2 linked regions of the Tamandua tetradactyla genome follow. The protein of the gene in region 2 binds, or shares a complex with, the protein of the main gene of each other region. Links are inferred from orthologs where the notes say so. Each region holds a gene or a part of one and is shown on either strand. Other genes may lie near its edges.

Evidence for each region. Proteins that work in one complex are often made in the same cells at the same time.
Region 1: the proteins of FGFR1 (region 2) and PLCG2 are in contact, whole or in part, in a cryo-EM structure (PDB 8JQI), measured with the Homo sapiens proteins. The link is inferred for Tamandua tetradactyla from reciprocal best matches to the Homo sapiens genes FGFR1 and PLCG2. Residues at the interface, in NP_075598.2 of Homo sapiens: Lys504, Asn506, His541, Lys542, Lys598, Ser602, Tyr605, Gln606, Arg609, Glu612, Tyr613, Ser616, Lys617, Lys748, Asp755, Arg756, Val758, Ser762, Gln764, Glu765, Tyr766, Leu767, Asp768, Leu769; in NP_001412678.1 of Homo sapiens: Phe528, Arg540, Thr568, Phe569, Pro570, Asn571, Phe577, His585, Cys586, Arg587, Arg589, Ser590, Thr591, Met592, Gly595, Leu601, Thr602, Asn604, Leu622, Arg623, Cys624, Ala625, Glu626, Phe627, Glu738.

The regions. Positions count from the first base shown.
Region 1 is NC_135342.1:76,421,722-76,429,402, forward strand, and holds the start of PLCG2 (1-phosphatidylinositol 4,5-bisphosphate phosphodiesterase gamma-2), read left to right. Parts: upstream 1-4,680; 5' UTR 4,681-5,018; coding exon 5,019-5,202; intron 5,203-7,681. UniProt on the Homo sapiens protein: The production of the second messenger molecules diacylglycerol (DAG) and inositol 1,4,5-trisphosphate (IP3) is mediated by activated phosphatidylinositol-specific phospholipase C enzymes. It is a crucial enzyme in transmembrane signaling.
Region 2 is NC_135352.1:4,642,083-4,649,024, reverse strand, and holds the start of FGFR1 (fibroblast growth factor receptor 1), read right to left. Parts: upstream 3,012-6,942; 5' UTR 2,369-3,011; intron 738-2,368; exon of another isoform or gene 720-737; intron 1-719. UniProt on the Homo sapiens protein: Tyrosine-protein kinase that acts as a cell-surface receptor for fibroblast growth factors and plays an essential role in the regulation of embryonic development, cell proliferation, differentiation and migration.

The DNA of each region.
Region 1 (7,681 bases), on a different chromosome or scaffold from region 2:
CGTTTTCCACTTTCCCAAAGAAAGTTTTATAAAGACAGCCATTAAAAAAATGGAATTATTGGTTTGCAACTTATTTTTTCATTTAGTCTTGCAAGAATATCTTTTCAGTTCAGTGTCTGTCAATCTTCCTCATTTTTTCCCAGTAGCTACCAGCATTCTTTTATGTGTGTATTCCATGATTTATTTAAGAGACCCCCCACTGATGGGCAGTTAAGCTGTTTCCTTTTTTCTTTCTTTCTCTTTTCCTGTTACAAATGATGTTTCCAGGTTTATCTTATGCATGTTGCTTTTTGCACAGGGTGAGTTACTGGATCAAAGCATGTGCTTTCACATGTTCTTTGAGCTCACAGGTTGTCCTCAAAAAGAGTTGAACTATTTTACACTCCCGCCTAGAGTGGCTGACACTGCCTCGTTCCTCTCATGAAGACCTTTATCCTCTGATGCTGCACACAGGACCTGAGAATGTAAGAAGCAGAAATAACATCCCTAGAGCTGTAGGAATGGAGTTACCTCTTAGGGATGTGGCTGTAATGAATTTTAACAGTTGTCTTCTGGGATTTGGGATGAAATTCTTCTCCCTCCTCCAAACATGTACAAAGAGCATCGAAAAGAAGAAAACGCCCCAGTTTCCTGGTTCTGGTCTCTTTTTTGCAAAGAGAAGGACATGAAAAGCAGAATGGCAAAACCTCATATTAAATCTCAACTGTGCTTGTAGTTATACTGTAAGTCATTTTACAAGGTTACCCATGGGGGATGAGAAACAGGAACAAAAAGGGATTTCATTTCTTTTAAAAGCAGAAGCAGAGTGGAAATGGCCTGTGTTGGCCAGTGCCCTCCCATGGGGCAGAGGCCTGGAGACCGTCCTTGCCTTAGCTACTGAAGTGTCCTGCTCGGGAGCCCTGGGCCAGGAGCTGGCCGGGTTTGGGGTCCTGGCTTGGAGGATCTTATGGCCACAAGTGTCTGTTTCTGGTTCCTGATGAGATGCAATGTCAGAGACTTGGTGGGCTTCGGAGCTGGAAGGATGGGAAATCCCAGGGAAGGTTAAGTCTAAGGCCCTTCCAGAGCCAGAGAGAATGGTAGGATGCTGGTACCTTGTCCTGGCCGGTGGGGTAGTCAGGGGTAGGTAGTCAGTGTAATGACGTTAGTTCAGGAAGAGCTGAGGCGCTGGAAGCAGGTTCAGCTGTGTGACCTTGGATACGTCACTTAACCTCTGTCTTGAACAGGGTCTGCCAATTTATTTATTATCCGGGCAGGTTCTGCCAAGGGATTCTGAATTCCAGAAGGCAGGTGCTGAAAGAGTGGGGGTTCAGCATTCAGACTGGGGTTCTGATCCTGTACTCCCCTGATTTTCGTTACCTTGGTCAGGTAATTTCACCTCTCAAGAATTGTATTTTGTATTGAGACAAGTGAAAGGGAGCAGGTACGGCAACTGCTTGGCACCTGGGAAGGGCCCAATAAACAGCAGCATTACAAGGAGGAGCAAGGCCACGGGTGCCTCGTTTATCCCTTTTCCTTGGGTGAGAGGTGATAGGCAGGAAGGCCATTTCTGGCTTTCATTCTCAGGAAGTTCTCAGCACACCCTAGCATTCCTACCTCTGGGCCTTTGCTTATGCAGGTCCACCCTTTTTAAAGGTTGGATTCAGTTGTCTGCTTTCCCCAGAAGCTTTCCCCTGTCCCACTCCAGACTGGGCTTGGGACCTCTTTTCACTGCTCCCTCAGCCCCCATGCATGTATCTGCTGCTGCATGTCCCTTTTTACACTGTTCTGTTTCCACATAGGTATAATTCATGATTATCTCCCCAGCTGCCAGCTCTGCGGAAGTGCTTTGGCTGTGGGCATGGAGTAGTGGGAGGAGGGGGCAAAGGGCAAGGACTGGACTCCCTTTGCACCCCAGTCCCTAGGACTAAGGAGTTGGCCAACTGGCTGGTTATCTTGACCGAGGTCCTGCTGAATGCTTGGGGCTGTACCTACATTGTAGGTTTTAGGAGTGATTCCCATTTGACACATGAGAAAACTGAGGTCCGAATTTGGAGCCATTTGGCAGGATGCTGTGCAGAGGCGGAGCCAGAGTGGAAGCCCAGGCAGCTCTGGCTGAACACCTGCCTTTCACTTCCTGATCTCTGGAGAGGCCTCTCGCCTCCCAGTGGCCTTAGAGTAACAACTGTGCGCTGGCCGGATGGGTTTCTCTGGGGAGGGGAGGGGAGGGGAGGGATGAAAAAGATACACAGAGCATTTGGTGGTCATGGTAGAGCTACATCTAACCGCTGGCTGACTTTGTATAGTTGTTTCAAGGATGTGACACGTGCTGCCTCATTTAATCCAAAGGAGAACTTTAAGTGGTAGATACTGTTTTCCTCCCATTTTAGGGGGACAGAATTGATGCCCAAAGGGCTCGAGTGCTTCTCCTAGGGGCTGCAGCCTGCGGGGCAGTGGTCATCTCCTCCTGAAGAGCAGGCGTTGTGTCTAGGAGGTAAAGGGAAGTGACTTATTGTCAGAACTCAGGATCCCATGGCCTAGGCTCGCATCCTAGTTCCACTGCTTAGAAGCTGTGTGACCTTGAGCTAGTTACTCAACCTCTCTGAACTCTTTTGAAACTGCAGATAGACGTAGTCTGTGTCTACTTTGTGGTGTTGTGTGAAAGTGCTCTCGCGGTGCTGGCAGCAGCCCGGGTGCACGCAAGCCCTCTATGGTGAGCTCTTTGTTGCTGTGGATAGGGTTCTCTTTGCACTTCTTGGATGCCCCTCATTCAGCCTGCCTAGGCTCTCAGCTTCTTGTTGGTTGGTGCCATCTTTCCAGTTAACTGCCCTGTGCTGTTCCTTCCTTATGCCCCACCTCCCTTGGCACTGATAGCAAAGTGTGGGGTAGTTGCATTCCCATTTTTGATAAAGCTGGTGTTGAATCCCAACTTTGGTACTTACCACCTGTGTGACTCTAAGCAAGTGACCTAGCTTCTCTGAGCCTCAGTTTCTTCGTCTTTAAAATAGACATATTAATAGTACCTACTTTACCAGGCTTTGAATGGTTCATTCATTCAATAGGAATATATATATATTACCAATCTCCAATTTAAGTGCCAAGGCCTCAGCAGTGGACGAACAGGTAGCAGAGACCCTGTCTTTTCTGCCGAGAATGTGCACAGTCTAGTAGAGGAGATAGAAAATGAAGAAATAAACTGAGTGATGCCAGCTGGATAGGGGTGGCTGCTTTGTAAGGGGGTGGTCAGGAAAGGTCTCGCTGCTGAGGTGCATTTGAACAGAGATCCAAAAAGAAGTGAGGGAGCAAGTTGAGTGGATTTCTGGAAGGAGAGCTTTCTAGGCCTGTGCAAAGGTTCTGTAGCAGCATTGAGTTTGGGGTGATCAGGGGCAACAAAGCAGATCAACATCACTGGAGCAGGCAAGGCAAAGAGGGATGGGAAGTGAGGGGCAGGGAACAGCCTTGGAGGGTCCGGGTGAGGGGTTTGGATTTGACTCCCCATGAAATGGGGAGCTGCTGCAGAGTTTTGAGTAGAGTAGCATGATTCAACTCATGCCGAGAAGATCCTTCTGGCTCCTGGTCTGAGAATTGACTTTGGGTGCTAGGGCAGAAGCAGGGAGATTCATGAGCAGGCATTGGGGATAATCCAGGGGAAGACTCCAGGAAGGCCCAGTGAAAGGGTGAGAAGAGAATACTTGTTTGGCTGACAGATTGGAGAAGAGGATTCTGTTTTTTTTTTTCTTCTTTTTTCCCCCATCATCATGGAGGATTCTGGTTTGGCTGACAGATTGGATATGGAATGAGAGAGTTGAAAGAATGATGACTCCAAGACTTTGGATCCGAGCACCTGTAAGCAACGAGTCCGATATTGGATCCGAGTCCGATAAACAACGACTGTTCACGAGACTCAGCAGTGGTCGAGAGCACAGGGATTGTGCCATGCCAGGCTGTGCTGGTGGCGTAGCTTTTCAGCCTTCCGGTTGCTGGTGTCACGCTGTTCTAGAAAGGACCAGAGGGAGGTTTGGAGAGTTAAGCAGCCTTTGCAAGGCCACGTGGTCAGCAAGAACCTAAACCAGGATTTGAACACGACACAGCTGGCATTTTTGCATTTCTGTCCCTTTTCTCCATTTCTACGCAGGGAAAGGAATTGCTTCTGATTTTTTTTTCCTGTTTCTGTCTTAGTTTCCTGGGGCTGCCATAACAATGTGTACAAATTGGATGGCTTAAAATGACCGAAAACTATTCTCGCACAGTTCTGGAGGCTGGTAGACTGAACTCAAGCATTGGCAGGGCCCTCCCTGGCCCCTTCCAGCCTCCATGGGTGGCAGCCATCCTTGGCCTTCTTGGCCGGTAGTTGCGTCACTTCCATCCCAGCTTGTCATTCTCTGTGTCCAAAAAGTCCCTCTTAGAAGGACATCATCCATATTGGGTTTAGGGCCCACCCTGAGGCAATGGGACCTCTTCCTAGCTTGATCCCATCTGCAGAGACCCTGTTCCCGAACAAGGTCATGTTCACAGCTTCCGGGTGGATGTGAGTTTTTGGAGGACACTATTCAACCCAGTACAGTCCCCGGCTTTGCTCAGGGAGAGAGGGATGGTCGGAAATCTCTGGGCAGGGTGGGGCAGGTTGTTGTGGGGTGAGGGGGTTGAAGGTTGGTGAGTGGGGGCTGGTCCAAGCTGCTTTGGCTATTCAAATATTCTCCAGGAGAAAAGCTGCGAGGGGAAGAGAGCTGGCTATGGCCAGGTAGGGTGCTTTGGGTATTCAAATCCCAGGTAGCGGTTGGTGCAGGAGGGATCCCTCTCAGCACGTTGACTCCCACTTCAACCCTTGTGTCCCAGTTGGGCTCTCCGAGTGGCCGCCGGTTCCCTGCCACTGGAACCTTCTCCCAAAGTGCACTTGGATGAGCATGAGACAGGATTTTGGCTCCTGAAACCCATGCCCTGTTGACTGCATTTCCCCCCAGCCAACTACAGTCAGTTCACCCTCTTCTCTCCCTCTTGCAGCCTCAGTGTTCCCCCCCAACCCCACCCCGGAGTGCCCGACAATGGCGACCGTGGACAACCTTCCGGAATATGAGAAGAGCCAGATCAAGAGAGCCCTGGAGCTGGGGACGGTGATGTCCGTGTTCAGCTTCCGCAAGTACACGCCTGAGCGGAGGACGGTGCAGGTGGTCATGGAGACCCGGCAGGTGGCCTGGAGCAAGACGGCCGACAGGATCGAGGGCTGCCGTGAGTACCGCCCGCCGTGGGCGCTGCGAAACCCGAGGCCACAGGGAGCGGCTTTGGGGCAGATGGGATGGGGGTGGGGGTGTGGGGGGGGAGGCCATCCTGGGAAGACCTGGTCGAATCACCTAGCGGAGGCCAGAGTGGGCACCTGGAAATGAGGTGCCGGCGCTTCTCCTGGGGGACAGGGCTGAGTTCCCGTCTGCAGCATCAGGGGCTGGGGGGCTCTTGGGGTCTCAGGGGGGCTGCCGTCCTCGGGCGAGCTGGCCTGAGCGTCCCCCGCTGGCTTCTGGAAGCTCGTGGCTTGGTAGCCGCACACTTGCTTCGTCTCACTGCAAACCACAGCAGTGAGAGGCTTTGCTTTAACCTCCATGGACAGGGCAAGTCGTTGAATGGGTTTGGGCTTTCAAATCAAGTCTCAGCCCTGCTGGGGTGCCTTCGCTTCCCACCCCCGTTGACCTGCTTGGTTCCTGAAGTTTCCAAGACTGTTTTTAACAAAAGGCGTAAGGGGACTTAAGCAATTATTAGTTGCAGATGCTTGTCTTACTTTGTATACTTTTAAAACAAATTATTTAGTTATTGTTTGAAAAATGTATTGTGGTAGCATGTATGTAGCAGAAATTTTTCCATTCTAACAGTTTTTAAGAATAACATTCCGTGGCGTTAATTGCATTTGCAGCCTTTTGCTACCGACACCGCCATCCATTACCAAAAGTTTTTCATCACCCTGAACAGAAGCTCTGTACCTAGTAAGCAATAACTTCCTATTTCCCCCCTTCCTCCAGCCCCTGGTGACCTCAAATCTACTTCCTGTCTCCATGAATTTGCTTATTACAGATATTTTACATAGGTGAAATCAAACCATAGTTGACCGTCTGTGTCTGACTTATTTCACTTTGCATAATGCTTCAAGGCCCCATCGGGACACCACTCCTTTTCACAGCTGAGTAATGAGTCCACTGGGTGGGTGCACCACATTTTCTCTCTCCGCTCGCCTGTTGATGGGCACTGGAGTTGTGTCCACCTTTTGGTGTGAATAATGCTGCTGTGAACGTTTGTGTGCAAGTATCTGAGTCCCTGTTTCCAGTTCTTTTAGGTATATGCCTGAAGTTCTCTGGCATATAGGTAGATAATAATTGTACATTAACTTTTTGAGCAACTGCCAAACTCTTTGCCCAGTGGCGACACTGTTCAGCATTCCCAGCAGCAATGGACGAGGCTCCCCGTTTCTCTGTATCCTCACCAACACTTGCTCTTTTCTGGGTTTTAAATAATAGCCATCCTAGTGGCTGTGATGGGCTATCTCATTGTGGTGGTTTCCTAGGTTCTTATTGACAAATTGAAATATACACTGGGGGAAAAAATTAATTAACTCATAAATAAGCATCTCTCTTTCTCAGCCCCATCCCATGCTCTGGAGACAAACTCACTGCTAATTTCTTTGATTTTCCAGAAATGTTCTGTTCTTGTATAATGTGTGTACCATGTTTTTTTCTTTTTTCTTTTTTTCTTTTTACACAAGTGAGAACCTACCACATAGGCTTCCTTTTTTCAAGTAATAATCCTTTTGGAGGCAGCACCTTTTCAGTATTATGGAGCTGTGTTATTTGTTTGGGGTCAGTAAGCTTTCCTGCCCGTGGTCACAGTATGACAGTGTGACCCATAGCAATGGACATCTTGGGCTGTTTCTAGTCTTTCGCTGTTCAGATCCGTGGTGCAGTGATTGCATAGTCCTTTTATACACGGGTCACAGGCATCTCCCAAGGGTGACTTTGGATGTGTTATTTCTGAGTTAAAGGGTAGGGTGCATTTGAACTTTGAAGGGCAGACCAGTGATACCCCCCAAAAGACGTTACCCCACTGGACACTCCAGACTCCAAGGCCCGGGGGTCCCCAGCACTCTTGTCCACACTGCAGTGTGCTGCGTTTGAATTAGTCCTTCGCAGGGGGCTCTGGGGGCTCGGCAGAGGTTTGAATTTGATTTCTCTGGCCACTAAGATTAAGCAGCAGGGGAAAGTGTCTGCCGGCCTGGGAGCCCACAGCCGGAGGCCTGGCTTGGAAATGCCTGTGTGGAAGCAGTCACCACTGCTCCCCATTCCCTGTGTGCTGCTGCTCAGAGACAGACTGGGGGTGGAGGGAGGTGGGTGGGGGGCGCAGGGGCTGGAACAGGCGCAGTGGTAACTACAGGTGGGCCATGATGCGAGCGGATTGTGCGCCCTTTTCCCCTTGGCCTGTGGGAAACACCTTGGAGGCTTTTAAACATATACAGGACTGCCCCCTTTTGATTTAGTGACACCAGGTGGCCTGGGACCCAGTATTTTACTAAGTGCTCCAGGTGGTGATCCTGGTGGCTGGCCAGGTCTGGTACTAGAGGGCCTTCCTCCCTCCTCCTCCCTGTCTTCCTCTCTTCTCCTTCCCCCCTCCCTCCTCCCTTCTGCCCCCTCCTCCTGTGCTAGGCACTGTTCTGATACTGGAGACTCCCCAG
Region 2 (6,942 bases):
AGCTAACTGGAGGGAAATACGTAAACAAGTCATTACGGAGGCTATGGGGGCAGGCGGTCAGCAATAGCACTGAAAAGAAGGAAGACACCCAAGCTCAGAGGGTAATTAGCCAGACCGAGGCACGTCCCACGGGGCTCAGCTACTTAGCTTTTAAACAAGCCTTGGAGAGGAAACCCGGATGCTGGGCCAAAGGGGGAAAATGGCCACTTTCAGTTCAACAGTCTCAAGGCTAAGGTTCTACAATTTAGGTGGGATTCCAAAAAAAGCGCTGGTCCGGAGGTGCAAAGGGCAGGCCACATCTGCGGAGGAAACAGTCACCTTAATTACCATGTCTAGAGAAAGTGCGATTTCATTGCAGCCTCCAAACTACCCGCCCAAAGAAGGAAACTAGAGAAGTGTTTTCAATTTGAAAGAGCCTGGAAAGGAGAGAGAGGGTGAGGGAGACCAACTCTTCTCCACCCGCTCTCAACTTTGGGCCAGAGGGCGCTGCTTTCCTGTGCCAAAGGATATTACAAAAAAAACAAATAAAAAAAAACACAACTCATCAAGCCAATCCCCGCGTCAGACCTGTAGCCCGTTAGTCAACGGTCAAACGTCTCACTTTGGTTTCCGGGCGCTGCAGCCTCCCCCAAACTCCTTAAAACACTCACAGGGAAGGGCCACAGGCAGCCCCCCACCCCCCCGCCGGCCCTCCCTACACGTCCCCACGCGCTGCGCACCGGGAAAAGGGACGCGTGAACGCCACCGAAGGGGCAGCCGGGGATGGGCAACTCCGAAGGAAGGATTGCGCACTCGGGACAGAAGCTCTAACCGAAGGGAAGAGAGTGCCCTGCTTTTGTTCGCGAAACATCCGTCAGGGCCAATTCTGGGTCAGACCCACGGTCCAAGAGGCAGATGGACTGCTGGCAAGTGTTATCCCCTAAAGCCTGGCCCCCTTCTCCCACGACGTCTCTTTTCTGCAGTTTAGAAAGCGTCCCAACCACCACCCATGAGCAGCAGCAGGAAAATAAGTAAGTGGGAATCCTACATAGCTTGGGATCCAAGGTAACTTTTTCTCCCTGAATCCCAGCCCCTCATCCCCAATTTTTAAGAAAATTTAAAGGACGTGTTTAAGAATCCCCGTTTTAATAGGGGTGGGTGGGATGCTAATAACGTGGCTGCGGTGTACCCGTGTGGAGTGAAATGGAACCAGATGCCGATGGTACGTCTGGAATATGGGAGGAAAAAGTGTTGAGGAAGAGAGACATCACAGACGTGTTCTTAAAATGGGTCTTTTTGTAGCTTCTGGGCCCCAAAAGGACAGAATGGCCTCACCCCCTCTCCTCAAAAAAGGTGTCTGGCTGCTTTCATAGGGCGTGTGTTGTATGAACCCCATCTACCACGTCAGTAAATTCCTCGGGCAATGAAAGGATTCTCCCCCTTTCTCCCCACCCCAAACATAAAGAATGTGGGGAGCGGCGAACAGAGAGCAACAGGCCTAGGTGCCGAGTGAGCCCACCCGACAAAATCCTCATCCCTTCCCCCACCTCTAAGAACCGGACTGGAAGGGTATGTTCCCCTCCCCCATAACCCCATCCCGGGGCTTAACATCAACCCTTTGGGCGCCCTCGCCCTTCTCCAAACTTCCGACCCTGTCTGGGATGGACTGTGCAGAAGACACCCCTCCCTGGGACGGAGAATTCCTCCCTCGCCCTCCGCTCAAGCAGATATCCAGTCATTTGGTGACGCCACCTCCTTAAAACCTATTCAGGGGTAGGCTAGGCCGACCCCCTCTGCCTTCCCCCTTCATACCCCTACCCATCCACCCACCCCCGACCCCAGACTTTCCGGGAGAGGGAAGAAGACATAAATATCCCGGATTGTTAGCTGTCTGTCCGGAGCTACCTGCTGAATTGGGATGAGTCACCACGAAGGGACCCAAAAGGGAGGAGTGAAATGCAACACACACACACAAACACACACAACACGCGCACACACACGCACACACACACCACCACACCACCTCTCTCCCCAGGCGGAGAAGCCCCCAGGGCCGCCGCCGCCTTTGCCCCCATCTCAGTCCCTCTCTGAACTGACCGCTCCGGAGCGCGAGTTGGCAGAAAAGTTGGGCGGCGGGACTAGGGTTGGGGAGGGGGCGCAGAAGGCGACGCTGGTAGATGCGGGGTGGGTGGGGGGCGTAGGGCCGACAAAAGAGGGGTGCAGTAGGCTGGGAGTGGACAGGGAGCCGGAAGGTGGAGGAGGGCTGGGAGGGAGGCGCCGGCCCCGACTGGGCTGCAGCAGAGGAAGCGCGCGGCTGGGAGGCTCCGGCGCGGGGAGCCGCTCGGGACTTCCAGCCTGAGCGGGATCTGGCGGGCGCCGCGGCTCTTACCTCACCCGGCGCTGCGGTGCCGCCTCTGGAGAGTCCGCCGTGGCTTGTGTAGACTGGCGGCTGCCCGCGTCTCCCGCTCCGGCCCGCTGCCCTCGGGGCTCAGCTCGGGTCCCGGCTCCGCGCGGGGTTCGGCGCTTCCAGCCCGGGCGGGAACAATGGAGCCGAAGCTGGTGCCCCGGAGGCGGGGCGGCGGGGGGGAGGGCTCCTGTCCGCCGCCCAGGGTCTCCAGACTCTGTGCCCCGACTCTGCTGAACCCCGCGGCGGCGGCTCACGCTTCTGGCACACCCGGTTCCATCGTCCTGCGGGGGCCCCGGCCCAGCGGCGCGCCCGACTGCAGCACTGGTAACGGTGCGCCCAGCTGGGCGCCACTCGGACTGGAGAAAAGTCCTTGGGCTCGGCTTGGCTTTTCCAGCTGCGGGGAGCGCTGGTGGCTGGGGAAGGCGAGCGAGACGCAATGCGCTAAGCAGGGTCTCGGTCCTGTCCAGACGTGGCCGGCCCAGCTCCCGGCACTGCCGGGGTTCCTCGGCGTGCTGCGGGTGCGGCAGGACCAGGATTCCGGGGTCCCGCTCTCCGCCTCCTCCTGCCGAGGCCGACACACCAGTGCCCGCAGGAGCGCTCCGAGCGCTGTGCGCCGGCGAGGCGCGAGGACTCCCTCTCGCAATCCCACGGCCCGCTAGTCCCTCCTCCTCTTCCTCCCCCTTCAGCTGCCTGCTGGGCCTTGTAGTTCCTGAGCCGCGGCCCCCGAGACAGGGGGAGCGAGCCGCGCCGCCGGCTCTCTTCTGCTGGTTTCCTGCAGTCTGGGCTCGTTGGGCGCGCGTGCCCTTCCCTCTGAGTACCGTGAGCAGGGCGCCGGAATATCAGGCCGCTGGCAAGCTAACAGTTTGGAGGATGAGATGGGGAGAGAATGTAACCATAAGGTTGTTCGTGATAGCATAGGCTTTTTGAGTCTGACGGTTTAACTTGGAAAATGATTTTTCTTACTCTAAATCTCCGTTTTTCTATCTGTAAAAAGGGGCATAATAGTACATTCCACATAGAGTTCTGGATTAAAGGAGACGTAGGTTTACGGTCTGGAACGTAGTTAACAGACGTTTTTATTCGAGTATCTGAGGCTGGAACCCCTTCCTCAGATTCCGTGATCTCATTCAATCCAGCTACATTAATTCAAGTTTTGTGGTTCCCAGGGTACTGAACCCCATAAATTCTACAGCACTCTTCTTATCCTCCAGAAGTCTCTAGCATGTGGTGAATGTTTAGGAAGCTGAGTGAGTGGTGGGAGTTGTGGGGAGGTGTTGGTTTGAAAATGAATCACCGCAGCATTAGGTGGAACCCAGGGAGAATGACCTAAATGTCCTTTTCCCTGGGTCCTTCCATGGGGTGGTATATCTAGTGGTTTCCTAATCCAAAGGTACATGAGTTCTTTGGGGAGCATTTTGAAAATACAAATTCTTTGGCCCACTCACTCCTGTGGAAACAGGCTGTTCCAAGAAGGAGCCAGGAAATCTGTATATATATATTTAAGCTCCCTTATATTGTACCTGTAATGTGAGGGCAGGTTTGGGGCCACTGGTAGAGTGCAGTGCCACACTGAATAGGAAGGAGACTTCAATTCTGGTCCTTTGCTGATGAACTGTTTGATCTTAGACAAGTCATACATCTGAAAATGAGGATGGAATTAAGTAATGGATATCAGTACACCAAAAGTGTTACACAAACAGAAGTAACTAAGTTAATAGTAGGGTCTGTTTCCTCATCCCTACCCCACAAGGTCTTGGAAGTTCAAATACTGATGATTAGGTCCTCCAAACTTATTGAAAGGGTCTCTAAGCTCCTTTTTCATTTCACCATCAGTGAAAGAACAGACAATCCATAACTGTTTATGGACTGACTGAGGAGTAAATATTCAATAAAAATTTTTGAATGAATGAATAAATAGCAGGAACTCACATATTTGTGGAATAAATGAACATCAACTGTTTATAGGGTGTATAGGGTTATTTCTCCTGCAAGCTTGTCTGTCCACCCCTTTAACCTTCCAGCTCCTGGACAGGTTCCACTGATCCTTTCCTATCAGCTGCCCACCCATTAGGCCACCTGTGTTGCAAATAATGCTTATCCCAGAGATGTAAGAAGACCAGACTCACACCCCTCCTTATTAATCCCTGAAACTCCTAGTAATCCTCTGGTATATCCCACCTATTTGATACTTGATATAGCCTTTGTTAGTTGTCTTTTTTACCCTATGCTCTTTCCCTTTAGTTGACTCCTAAACTGTTCTAAGGCAAGGCTCCCTTCTACATATCTGGCCTAGCTCAATTCTCTGTCCTCAGGAGGTTTTTCGTGTATGTTTGTTGTTGATGGATGTGATGAGGGTAGCAAACCTGGGTCATCAGAGGACAAAATACAAAAATGGTTGGGAAGACAAGCCATGGAAGAATCTAGCATTTCATGTTCACACCCAATTACTGTTTTCCCACTTTATTCCCAAAGAAGAGTGGATCACCTTTCCTCTCTTTGCTTTTTTTAAAACAGAAAAACAGTTCATGTTTTATCCTGTTTTAAATCCAGCCTTTTTTTTTTTTTTTTTTTTTCATTTCTTTTGTTTTGGAACCATTTTGGAGTCCCAAGGAGGCAGCTGAAGAGCGTGTCCTTGTTTTAAACCAAAAAGAATGATCTAGCTGCCTCTTTGGTGTTGAGGGGCACAGGCGCTGCCAGTGAACAAATTCCTCTATGCTTCACCCGGTAACTAAAATGAAAGCAAGTGGACAACTCAATAGCTCTCTCTTCCTCAGTTCTTAAGGAAACATCCCACGAGAGCCAGAATGGAGAAGTCCTAAAACCCTGAGGACGAATGGGCCATCAGCAGACTGTGGCTCCTGAATAATTGAGAGCTGACTGCTTTCTTCATTCTAGACCGGCTCCCCACTCGCGCCGCTCCCCACCCCCACCCTTCCCCCAACTCTTTTTGAAATGTAGACCCTCAGCTCAGGACAAGTCTCAGGCCAATGGAGGGAGAGCATCCCCAGGGCAGCCCTGAGCCATTCCAGGCAGCAAGGGTCATATGGCAGCTCTGCCTGCTTCTGTCCTGCACTGAGGACTCCTGGCTCCTTGCCTCCCCACACAGAAATGTAATCTTCCCTTGGAGATAACAAAGAGCTGGGAGGGTCACGGAGGATTTGTAGGCCCCTTGCCCTGCCAGCAAGATGTCGGAGAGGGAGACAAAAGGCCTTCATGCTCTAGGACCTGATAACCAGTTGGGGGCCTGTAGCCTCCCGGATCTACAGGGGGAGGGGAACAGTGCTGAATGAAAAGAAGGGAAACGGAGCTCTCCCCAAAGCCCGGCCGGTCCTCTTTGTTTGGGAACAGTTGCAGAAAATCCCTTCCTTCTCCTTAGAGCCGCTTGTGTTCTCTGAGCTCCTCCACCGAGTAGGGAGCTTCTCTTTCCCCACAGTCCATTCGCCCCACTGCTCCCCTGCGCCATCTGAGTTTGTTTATTTCAGGGCTCAGCAGTCCCAACCAGGGATGAGGACTTCACTAGACCGGTTCATACTTCAGAGTTAACACCTCACTGAAACGGAAGAAGTTTGGGGGGATGGACTGGGCGAGGTTGGGCCTCAAGTCTGCTCCAGTCAGGCTTTGGGTGGGGGGTCCCTTAGCTGTGATAGGAACTGGCTGAAACCCAGCTCTGAGAGCTGGTTGCAGGAAGGGATGCAGCAGGAGTGAACTGTCGGGTTTTCCCCTGCAAAGTGGGCCGTTCACAGGTCCCTGGGAGCAGGTGGGCGGCAAAGCCTTTTGCCCCAGGCCCCTGGAGTCAGGGAGCAACAGTCAGTTACCATCTGGCGGCCATTTGGTAACCCCTGGCTGTTCTTAGCACAGCTTCAGCTTGTCAGGGAAGGGAGGGTCTTGTTTGGCTTGGTGTTTTTGTAAATAATACTTCACTCTCTCCTAACAACTGGGGGTGAGCAAGGGAACTAGCTGCAGTAGTGGCTGGACTTGCCTGGCCCTAGTGCAAGACCATCCACTAAGGTTGGGGAGCACTTTTGTGCTTCAGGCACTGAGCTGGACACGGTGTTTCTGAAAATGAAAGGGACAAGGGCATCCCAGTAGCTCTGGCTTGGGGTGGGGTGGGGTGGGGGACCTAACACTGCAGGCAGTGCTGCGCCAGCCCAGCTGCTTGTGCAAGGTGTTTTGGGAGGAGCAATCAAGAGGCTTAATTCCTTAGAATAAAGATGGCTAAAAGGAAGTGATTCTTGACTTTAAAGAGTGGCAAACAGCATGTGAAAATCCACAAACTCATCTTGGACACTTGTGGAAGGTAAGGCTGGAGGGTACATGCTGGGGTATGAAAGCTTCTGAGTTCTCTTCCTCTAAGAGGGAGAATTCAGTCTCTGGGATCAAACAGGTCTTCTGGGTGTCAGTCCTGATTTTGCCTCTTCGTACTGGCTGTGTGATCTTGGGCAAATTGTTTAATTCCTCTGTATTTCCTCAGTGGTGAAGTGAGAATAATGGCAGTCCCTGTTCTTCAGAGTTGTTGAAAAGATGCACTGAGATAATAATGCATTAATGCACTCGAT